3 linked regions of the Oryctolagus cuniculus genome follow. The protein of the gene in region 2 interacts with the protein of the main gene of each other region in a pairwise test. Links are inferred from orthologs where the notes say so. Each region holds a gene or a part of one and is shown on either strand. Other genes may lie near its edges.

What was found.
Region 1: the proteins of AP1M1 (region 2) and AP1B1 interact in a two-hybrid assay, tested with the Homo sapiens proteins (2 studies listed by BioGRID, with this or other methods). The link is inferred for Oryctolagus cuniculus from reciprocal best matches to the Homo sapiens genes AP1M1 and AP1B1.
Region 3: the proteins of AP1M1 (region 2) and ZBTB8A interact in binary tests that used the Homo sapiens proteins (3 or more experiments, as listed by UniProt). The two-hybrid records come from large-scale screens. The link is inferred for Oryctolagus cuniculus from reciprocal best matches to the Homo sapiens genes AP1M1 and ZBTB8A.

Annotation. Positions count from the first base shown.
Region 1 is NC_091452.1:22,804,798-22,808,544, forward strand, and holds the start of AP1B1 (AP-1 complex subunit beta-1), read right to left. Parts: upstream 2,636-3,747; 5' UTR 2,459-2,635; intron 1-2,458. UniProt on the Homo sapiens protein: Subunit of clathrin-associated adaptor protein complex 1 that plays a role in protein sorting in the late-Golgi/trans-Golgi network (TGN) and/or endosomes.
Region 2 is NC_091447.1:64,739,898-64,743,544, forward strand, and holds part of AP1M1 (AP-1 complex subunit mu-1), read left to right. Parts: intron 1-2,407; coding exon 2,408-2,534; intron 2,535-3,647. UniProt on the Homo sapiens protein: Subunit of clathrin-associated adaptor protein complex 1 that plays a role in protein sorting in the trans-Golgi network (TGN) and endosomes.
Region 3 is NC_091438.1:139,928,549-139,932,006, reverse strand, and holds part of ZBTB8A (zinc finger and BTB domain-containing protein 8A), read left to right. Parts: intron 1-1,935; coding exon 1,936-2,268; 3' UTR 2,269-3,458. UniProt on the Homo sapiens protein: May be involved in transcriptional regulation.

The sequences.
Region 1 (3,747 bases), on a different chromosome or scaffold from region 2:
CCCAGTGGAGCCGGTCCTCACGCCATCTGAGCGGTGAGAGCTCAACTCAGGGCACAGATGACCTGTGCTCTCTCATGTTCCCGCCTTCTGTGACAAGTCACTTTATCCCGATTCTTCCCTTGGAAGGAGGAGGATAAGGTGACAATATTAAGTTTCTGTGAAGTCAGTGGCACTAGGAGAACAGATCATAGAGTTAAAGAGAATACCAGTACTACCCTAACATTTCTATCAGAGCTTTTTTTTTTTTTTTTGACAGAGTTAGACAGAGAGAAAGGTCTTCCTTCCGTTGGTTCACCCCCAAAATGGCCACTACGGCCGGAGCTATGCCGATCCGAAGCCAGTAGCTTCCTCCCAGTCTCCCATGCGGGTGCAGGGCCCAAGCACTTGGGCCGTCCTCCACTGCCGTCCCAGGCCACAGCAGAGAGCTGGACTGAAAGAGGAGCAACCGGGACTAGAACCCAGCGCCATATGGGATGCCGGCGCCACAGGTGGAGGATTAACCAAGTGAACCACGGCGCCAGCCCTCTATCAGAGCTTTCTTCAAAAGCAGGTGGACACCGCACAGGGAGATTAACGGTTAAGACACCTAAGAGGGGCCAGCACTGTGGCGTAGCGGGTGAAGCTGCAGCCCGCAAGCTGGTATTCCATATGAGTGCTGGTTCGAGTCCCTGCTGCTCCACTTCTGATCCAGCTCCCGGCTCTTGTGCCTAGGAAAGCATCGGAGGATGGCCCAAGTCCTTGGGCCTCTGCACCCACGTGGGAAACCCGGAAGAGGACTCTGGCTCCTAGCTTCGGCCTGGCCCAACCCTGACCACTGTGGCCATCTGGGGAGTGAGCTAGTAGATGGAAGATCTCTCTTTCTCCCTCTCTCTGTAACTGTGCCTTTCAAATTATTTATTTGAAAGGCAGAGGCAGAGAAAGAGTGCAAGTGAGAAGTCTTCCATCCGCTGGTTCTCTCCCCAAATGGCCACAACAGCCAGGAGCTTCTTCCGGGTCTCCCACACAGGTTGCAAGGGTCCAAGGACTTGGGCCATCTTCCACTTCTTTCTCAGGCCATAGCAGAGAGCTGGATCAGAAATGGTGCGGCCAAAACTCAAACTAGCACTCACATGGAATGCCGGTAGTACAGGAAGCGGCTTTACCCAGTACGCCACAGTGTCAGCTCCTAAAATAAATCTTAAAAAAAAAAAAAAAAAGACACCAGGAGAGGGTAGGAAGGCAGCAGGTCTTTCTCACGCTGCTGTCTGGGAAACTGAGGCGGAAGTGCAGTGGTCACTATCTGGAAGAAAGCTCAGACACAGAGCCTGACCCTCGGCCACCAAGCGTCTCCTCTCCCAGGCAGGACCACGTGGGCTCTGCACACTTCTCAGAGGGGCGAAGACTTCCCTCTGGGTACACGCTTCCACACCCAAGACCCCCTGATGGTCATCTGGGTGCCCTCTTTATTCCAAAAGGAAAGCAGTTCTTGAGCTACTTCTCAAGAGATCCGAACCATCGGCTTCACGGATAACCCGTTCGGGGTCTCACAGTTCCCAACAGTCAGGAAAACCTTCAACGCGTGCCCCTGCAAGATCACTTACAACAGCCTGCCCGGCTGCCTCACGGTGAAGAAAGCAAACCAAATGCCCCTTAGGAAAGATCAGGCAATAAGGGCACGTCTTGACCCTGACCCACGCCCCTAAAAATATGAACCAGCCCCTCACGCCCGATCACGGCGCCCCTCTCTCCATGGTCTCTGTACTTTGAGGCCCCGAACGCCTAAGCAGGAACCCTGGCTCTGCCCCTCCTGCCCAACTGGCCTTCCATGCGTGATCTGACCTCCCTGGATAAAAGGGGGACGAAACACCAGCGCCCTGGCAAAGGACTCGATGTGCACTGTACGTAAAGCGCTCGGCACAGCTGCGCACACACAGTAGGAGCTCAAGACTCAGCAGGGGGTCCTCAGTATCTCTTAGCATTGTTTTCAGACGTCCCCATGCCGTCCACTCGTCCCCGGAGCGCCAACGGACAGACCAAGCCCAAGTCCACCCGGGCGGCACAAGGCTGGTTTTTTCTTTTCTAACTTTAATTTTTCCTTTCTGAACCTCGGCCCTGGACGCCGACGAGGCCTCGGGATGACCACGGGGGTAACGGTGAAAAGGGAAACCAGAGCCCGCAGAGGAGCTTCCCCCACCCGGCCAGAGACGGGAGTCTCGGGGCCTAAGGTCCGGGAGTCTCCGGGCGGGCGCCCCGAGAGCGCCTACGGACACGGGGCGCCCGCGGTCCGGGCCGGCGGCCAAGCGGGCGCGAATGAATGAACCCGAGTCCTTCCGCCCCGTCCGGCCCCGGGACGCCGCCGCGCGCCCACGGCGCCGCGTCCTCCCCGTGACCTCTGACCCCCACAAACCCCTCACCTCAGACCCCCCGACGCCCCCACGCCGCTCCTTCTGCTACCTCGCGGCGCCCCCTGCTTCCTCACCGGCAAGTCCGAACGGCTCCTGGAGCCACGGCTCGGTTCGGCTCGGCAGCAAAATGTCCGCGGCCTCCTGCTCCTCCTCCCACCCTGCCGGTGCGTCCGTGCCGCCGGCTGCTCCGAGCCCCGCGGCTGTCACCTGCCGGGCGGAAGTGAGCTGCCCGCGCGCGGGCACTTCCGGTGGACGCACGGCCGGGGGGCGGGATCAAGGGTACGACGCGGGCAGGGGAGGGGCCCGGGGAGGGGCGGGTGCGAGTGCAGGGAAGGGGGCGGAGCCTGCGGGCAGGCACTTCTGCGAGGCCGCGGCGCTGTCTCCGCCGAGGTCTTGGAAAAGCCACGCAGCTGCGTACTAGTGGCGGCGGCCACCCCGTTCCTGACTGCGGCACACCGTGCATCTGCTCCTGCTAGATACTGTCTGCTCATCCCGCTTTCAAACGCCGCTCGCCCAGGAGGCCGCAGGGGGTGGTCCTGCACCGGGTCCCCGCCGCCCACCTGGATGCCCGGCTCCTGGCTTCTGCCTGGTCCGGCTGCAGCCCAGGAGAGAACCAGGGAGATGGGAGGCCTCTCTGCCTTTCAAATAAAAAAAATAAAAATTGCATTGCAGAGCAGGGAAAACCCACTGGTAACCAAAGCGAAGATAAAAGTTCACCTTCAATCTCACTTCCCTGAGATAATCACTTCCAATATTTTGGGGAAGGTTCTTTTAGGCTTGATGATATGGTTTGATTTTCTTTAAAAAGTTTTTTTAATTGAATTTTTAAATTTATTTGAAAGGTAGTGTGAGAGAGAGCAAGAGAGAGAGGGACAGACTGGCTGGTTCACTCCCTCAATGCCCTCAAAAGCCAGGGTTGTTCCAGGCTGAGGCCGGGGGCCTGGAGCGCCATCCAGGTCTCCCAGGTGGGTGGCAGGGACCAGGTTCTTGGCACCATCACGGCTGCCGGCCAGCAGGAAGCCGGGGCTGGAGCTGAGCAGGACTTGAACCCAGACCCTCCAGCAGTGGATGCAGGCCAATCACGTGGTCTTCCCGCAGCCCCGGGTGCCTGCCCCTCACTCACCAAGATTATGCTAAAAAAAAGTCCTGAAACAATGAGCACATTTCTTTCTCCGTGGTGTTTTCTGCCCTTGTGTGGATGGCACCTCTCTTCTCTGAAGCGATCCCCTAAGGTTGTACATCAGGTTGGTATTAATTTTTTTTTTTTTTTTGACAGGCAGAATGGACAGTGAGAGAGAGAGACAGAGAAAAAGGTCTTCCTTTTGCCGTTGGTTCACCCTCCAATGGCCGCCGCGGCCGGCGG
Region 2 (3,647 bases):
GGTTTCCTCTTCTTCCCCTGCGTCCCTGGGCCTCAGACCATCCCAGCGTCAGCGCCAGGGCTGACATCTCGGGGCCATGTTCCGAAATGTTCGCAGCTCTTGGTGTGCTGAGTGGTTTTGGCTTACATGCCGGCTGTCGGCCGTGACCTATGATAAGGTTCTAGGTTTCGTTTACAACGTAAGGGAAGTGTTGATGCTCTCATTTTAGCCAGCAGTCCACCTGCCTGGGTTCAGGCCACCACTTCAGCGCTCAGCCTGTGGGCCACAGAATCATTTCTGTGTTCAAGGCCTGCGTGCCAGACGTGCGCTGCTGGGGCTCCGTCTGGGGCCTGGGATCTTAGGTCCCCTCACGGGTCTCTGTGTGTAGCCTGAGGAGGTGGGTTGCTGGGCCCCTGGCCCTCTGTTCCCTACCGGGGCCTCCCTGGGTCCTGTGGGTGGAAGCCGGGGGAGAGAGCCCCGCTGTCCCACGTGTCTTGCGTGAGTGCCCTGCTCCCGAGTATCAGGAATCCGCACTGTGGCCCCACAGCCCAGCTGGAGGCTCCCCTGCCCACCTCGCCCTCTCCCAGCTGCCCACCTCGCCCTCTCCCAGCTGCCCCATCTCGCCCTCTCCCAGCTGCCCACCTCGCCCTCTCCCACCTGCCAACCTCGCCCTCTCCCACCTGCCCACCTCGCTCTCTCCCCAGCTGCCCACCTCGCCCTCTCCCACCTGCCCCATCTCGCTCTCTCCCAGCTGCCCACCTCGCCCTCTCCCACCTGCCCCATCTCGCTCTCTCCCAGCTGCCCACCTCGCCCTCTCCCACCTGCCCCATCTCGCTCTCTCCCAGCTGCCCACCTCGCCCTCTCCCAGCTGCCCACCTCGCCCTCTCCCAGCTGCCCACCTTGCTCTCTCCCACCTGCCCACCTCGCCCTCTCCCAGCTGCCCACCTTGCTCTCTCCCACCTGCCCACCTCGCCCTCTCCCACCTGCCCCCCTCGCCCTCTCCCACCTGCCCACCTCGCCCTCTCCCACCTGCCCACCTCGCCCTCTCCCACCTGCCCCCCCTTGCCCTCTCCCACCTGCCCACCTCGCCCTTTCCCACCTGCCCACCTCGCCCTCTCCCAGCTGCCCCATCTCGCCCTCTCCCAGCTGCCCACCTCGCCCTCTCCCACCTGCCCACCTCGCTCTCTCCCACCTGCCCACCTCGCCCTCTCCCACCTGCCCACCTCGCTCTCTCCCAGCTGCTCCCCGCCCCCACCTCAGGCGCACTCTCCGCCTGAGCTCTGGTTCAGCACCTGCTGTCGGGCGAACCTGTGGGTTCAGCCAGTCCCAGCAGGTGGGTCACCCTGCTGTGCCCTCAGGCAACAGCTTGTGTGGCGGCCCGGGCCACCTGCCGGCCCTGGTTGGGACTTCTGAAGAGCTAAGCCTCCAGCTGTGGGACTGGCGCTTCGAGCAGAGCTGCCTGCCCTGTGACAGCGGCCGCAGTAGCTGTGATCCTGCCCAGGGTGCCCTGGGGGAGTAACTTGGAGAGAGCAGAGTATGGCTCCGCCGGGAGGGCCAAGCTCCTCTGCACCCTGGCTGGCACCAGGGCGGGTGTGGGGCTGCCACCTTCCAGGTCTGACTGCAGAGCCCATGGCCGCGTCACCATTGCCTCCAGATCGCGATCAGCTGGACGGGGCAGGGTGCCGGAGCAGCCGGGCCCTGGCAAACATCTCGGCAGCGCCCGCCCTGGCCGGCTGGGGGCACTTGGGGTGCCACCTCAGCGCAGGCCACAGCCCCGAGTGCTGCCCACGGGGCTGGCATCAGCGCCTTCCCAGGCCTACCCGCAGCTGCGGGAGGCAGCTCCCAGAGGAGAGCAGTGAGGGGCCGGCAGGTAGCACACAGGGTCCTGACAGCGCCGCAGGTGCGATCCCAAGGTGCCCTGTCCTGGAGCCCAGGTGGGCCAGTCGCTGCTTCCCGGGGGACACAGCAGCCAGCAGCCTGCCCCTTGCTGGAGGGGAAGACAGAGACAGACCCCCACGGGCCACCGAGACACGGAGGGCAGAGCCTGTCTCTCCAGGTCGGTCTCAGGGCTGTCGCCTGGCACTGCAGGGGCGGGCGCCCTTTGGCCACGTGGTGCCTTCAGACCCTTGCGGCAGGCACTGGGCCCCCGCTGCCTCGGCTCGGCTGGGCTCCAGGGTCGGCCCATGCCCTGCGAGTGTTCTAGTGTCCCTGGGTCAGAGTCCTTGGGGCGGGGGGGGGGGGGGGGGGGGAGGCGGCCACAGCCCCTGCTGTGAAGGCTGGGGGAGGGGTGAGCCCGGGACTCTGAGCAGGGTGTGGGTGGGAGGAGGGCGTGGCCTGGCCTGAGCTGGGCTACCGGGAGGGGGCTGGGTAGGGAGGCGAACCTTGGGAGCACAGGGTGAGCTGAGGCCCCCCGCCCCGCGCCCCCCAGGTGAGCGCCAACGGCAACGTGCTGCGCAGCGAGATCGTGGGCTCCATCAAGATGCGCGTCTTCCTCTCGGGCATGCCCGAGCTGCGCCTGGGCCTCAACGACAAGGTCCTCTTCGACAACACGGGCCGTGAGTAGCCGGCCGCGCTGGGCGGGGGCCTCAGACACCCAGGGTGCAGTTCCCGTCCCTCGGGGCTCTGCTTCTGCCCTCTCCTGGGGCTCTGGGTCCGCACTGGGTGAGGGCCACACACGGGTTCCCGTTCTCGCAGGCTGGCTGGTGCTCCCAGGGTGGGGCAGGGGACGCAGGGGCTCAGCCTGGGGTGGCGCAGGCCTTCTCCGGACTGCGGCCGTGCCCAGGCCTGCCCAGCAGCTCTGCCTGCTCTGGGCGAGCAGAGCCTGACCCACGTTGCCATGTGTGGAGTACAAAGCTGAGAGAGGACCCAGGCCCCAGTGGCGGGGCGCGAGCCCTCGGGGACCCCCACGCTTCACGCAGCCAGGTCTGAGAGTCACTCAGCAGACACATTCCATCCAAGCAGCTCCCCTGTCTGGGCCCTGGGCTGCCTGCTGGAGACTCCGGTGAGCTGGGCCGCCACCGGGAGGAGGCTTGGAACCCGCGTGCCCCGTGCTCTGCAGCTCGGGACACTCTCCCAGGGGCGGCCTGGGCCACAGGAGCCCACACACAGGGCACACAGTGCACACACACACATAGCACACACACACACACCTGTCCCCTGCAGGACGATCTCTCAGGGGCAGCCTGGGGCCACAGGAGCCCGCACACAGGGCACACACACACACACAGTGCACACACCTGTCCCCTGCAGGACGCTCTCTCAAGGGCAGCCTGGGCCACAGGAGCCTGCACACAGGGCACACACACACACACAGTGCACACACGCAGAGTGCACACACACAGTGCACATACACACACACACCTGTCCCCTGCAGGACGCTCTCTCAGGGGCAGCCTGGGCCACAGGAGCCCGCACACAGGGCACACACACACACACAGTGCACGCACACAGGGCACACACACACACAGTGCACACACACAGTGCACGTACACAGAGTGCACACACACAGTGCACGTACACACACACACCTGTCCCCCACAGGATGCTCTCACAGGGGCGGCCTGGGCCACAGGAGCCTGCACACAGGGCACGCACACACACACAGTGCACACACGCAGAGTGCACACACACAGTGTACACACACACACCTGTCCCCTGCAGGACGCTCT
Region 3 (3,458 bases), on a different chromosome or scaffold from region 2:
AGACCTGGATGAATTTCCTGGCTTCTAGCTTTGGCCTGGTCCAGCCCCAGTTGTTGCAGGCATTTGGGGATTGAACCAGCAAATGGAAGATTGAAAGATTTTCTCTCTTTATCTACCTTTCAAGTAAATAAAAATAAATAAAATTTTTAAAAATAAGAAAAAAATAAAGATAAAAACTAGAAAGCAGTTAAGTAACAGAGAAAGAGGGAGAGACAGAGGGTAAGAGAGATCTTCATCTGCTAGTTCACTCCCCAAATGCTCACAACACTGGGGGCTAGGTCAGGCCATAACTGCTGTCCCTCATAGTGTGCATTAGCAGGAAGCTAGAATCGGAAGTAGAGCCAGGACTCAAACCTAGGTACTCTGATATGGGATATGGGCATCCCTAGCAGCATCTTAACTCCTGTACAAAACATATACCCTACAGTCCTCTTTCTGCCAGACCTTATGTTAATAAAATGACAAGTGATCCTTCTATCCACAAATATTCATGAGGCCAGTGTTGTAGCACAGCTGGTTAAGTCCCTGGCCATGGTACCTGCATCTCATATGAATGCCAGTTCAAATCCTGGATGCTCCACTTCCCATCCAGTTATCTGCTAACACTCCTGGGAAAGCAATGGAAGATGGTCCAAATGTTGGGCCCCTGCACCCATGTGGGAGACCCAGATGGAATTCCAGACTCTTGGCTTCAGCCTGACCCAGCCCTGCTTGTTGCGGCCATTTGGGAAGTGAGCCAACAGATGGAAGATCTCTCCCTTATTGTCTCTCCCTCTCTCTGTGACTCTGCCTTTCACACAAGTAAACACATCTTTTAAAAATCGATGCATTTAAATTTAGACAATATATTTTCTTCCTCTAGTGAAATAAGAAAATTCACTCTCTCTTGAAGCAAGAGAGGCATTTTCCCTCAAGTTAAAATATGTAAAATCCTTAGAACAGTACATGGTACATAGTAAGTGTTTACAATTATTACTATCCTGGGAATGTATCCATTGGCTACATCAGATATCGGAATACTATTGGATTAAAGGATTTGTGAAATTATTAAGTGTATGTAATAATAATAAAACCATGGGCCAGCATTATGGCACAGTGATCCAGGATGTCTGTGATACTGGCATCCCATGTCAGAGTACCAGTTTAAGTCCCTGCTGCTTTGCCTTCTATCCAAGTCCCTGCTAATGTACCTGGAAAGGTGGCAGATAATGGCTCAAGTGCTTGGGCCCTGTCCACCCATGTGGGAGACCAGGATGGAGTTCCTGGCTCCTGGCTTCAGCCTAGCCCAAACCTGACAGTTGGTGGTCATTTAGGGAGTGAACCAGTGGATGAAAGGTTTCTCTCTCTGTTTCCCTACCTTTCAAATAAATAAATAAACCTTTTAAAAATAAATAAAACCATTATAGCCATTATTTAGAGAATGGTGATGTTTAATATTTTTGTGACTGGGGTCAGCATTGTGGTATAATGGGTAAAGCTGCCACCTGTGATACCAGCATCCTATATGGGCTCCAGTTTGAGTCGCAGGTGCTCCATTTCTGATCCTGCTCCCTGCTAATGCACCTGGGAAAAGAATGGAAGGCGGCCTAAATGCTTGGGCCCCTGCACCCACATGGGAGACCCAGAAGAAGCTCCTGGCCCCTGGCTTCAGTCTAGCCCTGCCCTGGCTGTTGCGGCCATTTGGAGAGTGAACTAGCAGATGGAAGATCTCTCTTCCTTTCTCAGACTTCCAAATAAATAAAATAAATCTTTAAAAAATATATTTCTGTGGCATACATTTATCACCAAGCCTATGATCTTTCTCTAATAATTAGATATTAATTTGAATTTAATGCATGGCTTTGAGCATCTTAAGTTTGTGAACCGAATGAGACCTATAACTCAAACTTTGCTTTTGAAAAGTCATTTTTTACCGCTATCTAAATTTCTGCACAGATCCACCAGGCCTGCAAACTAATCTGCAGAAAATGTAAACGCCACGTGACTGATGTAACAGGACACGTGGTGCAGGAAGGCACGCGGCGCTACAGGCTGTGTAACGAGTGCCTCGCGGAGGTCGGCATCGACAGCCTCCCGGTCGATCTGGAAGCTGAGCAGCATCTTCTGTCCTCATCCGATGCAGAGAAGGAGTCCAGGTGGCGCTTGGGTGAAGACGAGAACAGATCCTACGTGGAGATTGTGGAGGACGGGTCGGCTGATCTGGTCATCCAGCAGGTTGATGACAGTGAAGAAGAAGAAGAAAAGGAAAGAAAGCCCAACATTAGGTAGCCATAAGGGGAACCAGCAGAGCTTGGCATGTGTGCATCTTCATTGCCTCCGTGTGTCTCTTTCCATGGTCAGAGTCTGGTTAGCAAGTTTATTACTGACTTAAAAGGAATGACCTGATGTAACCTGCATGCTTTCTGAACAGGCCATTGTATCCATTCTGAGCTTGGTTGCCCTGTAATACGTTGCTGCACTGGAAAGAAAGACCTAGCTTGAGTTGGCATGATGGGTGGATGATTATCCTCTTACTTTTACTGTAATCCTTTTACATATGCGGAGACACCTTTTTTCTTTTATTATTGGAAGATCTACTTAGCAAACTTTTTTTCAAAGAAAATATTTTAAATAAATTTATCATAACTGAACTTCATGTAAGACAATTCCAAAAATATATATACCATCAATACTGAATTCCGCAGGGAACCAGGTAAGAGCACATTTAAGGGCCTGGCAACCCATCTGCCTGAACTAATATGTTTTCCTATTAACTTCAGATCTGAAACAATATAGCATTATTCCAGTGTCCTAAATGTTTTAGATTATGGCAGAAGAGTAATCTAAGATGTTCAAAATTGTGCGTATTTGAAATTTTTGTCATTAAGTTTAAAATTGCTCTGATGTAGACAGAATTATTAAAAAAAAAAAAAAACAAAACAAAAGTAAGGTTGGCCAAGCATTGTATACACGTTACTTTGCTTAAATCAAGAAATCAATACTGACTTTGAAAAGTCCCTGTGGTTTGTGAAAACCTGTCAAGATATTTCCCTACCTCTCTAGAGAAAAAAAAAAACAAAACTAGAGATCCTTACTAGTCCCCAAGTGTAGTTTCTGACACATGTGTAGTGCTCTATTATTTATAAAGTACTCTCTCATGTTTTATTCACTGATCGGTGAGGTAGACATCATCTCCGATTTACAAATGAGAAATTAATGTCCAAAACTTTAAGTGCTAGAATTGATAATTAGACACATTCTAGGGTTTTTTTTGTGTGTGTTTTGAGGTTTGTTTGTTTGTTTTTAGATTTATTTATTGATTTGGAAGGCAGAGTTACTGAGAGAGGGAGAGACATACAAAGATCTTCCATCCTCTGGTTCACTCCCCAAATGGCCATAATGGCCAAGACTGGGCCAGGCCAAAGTCAGGAGCCTGAAAGTCCATCCTGGTCTCCCATGTGGGTGGCAGGGGCCCAAGG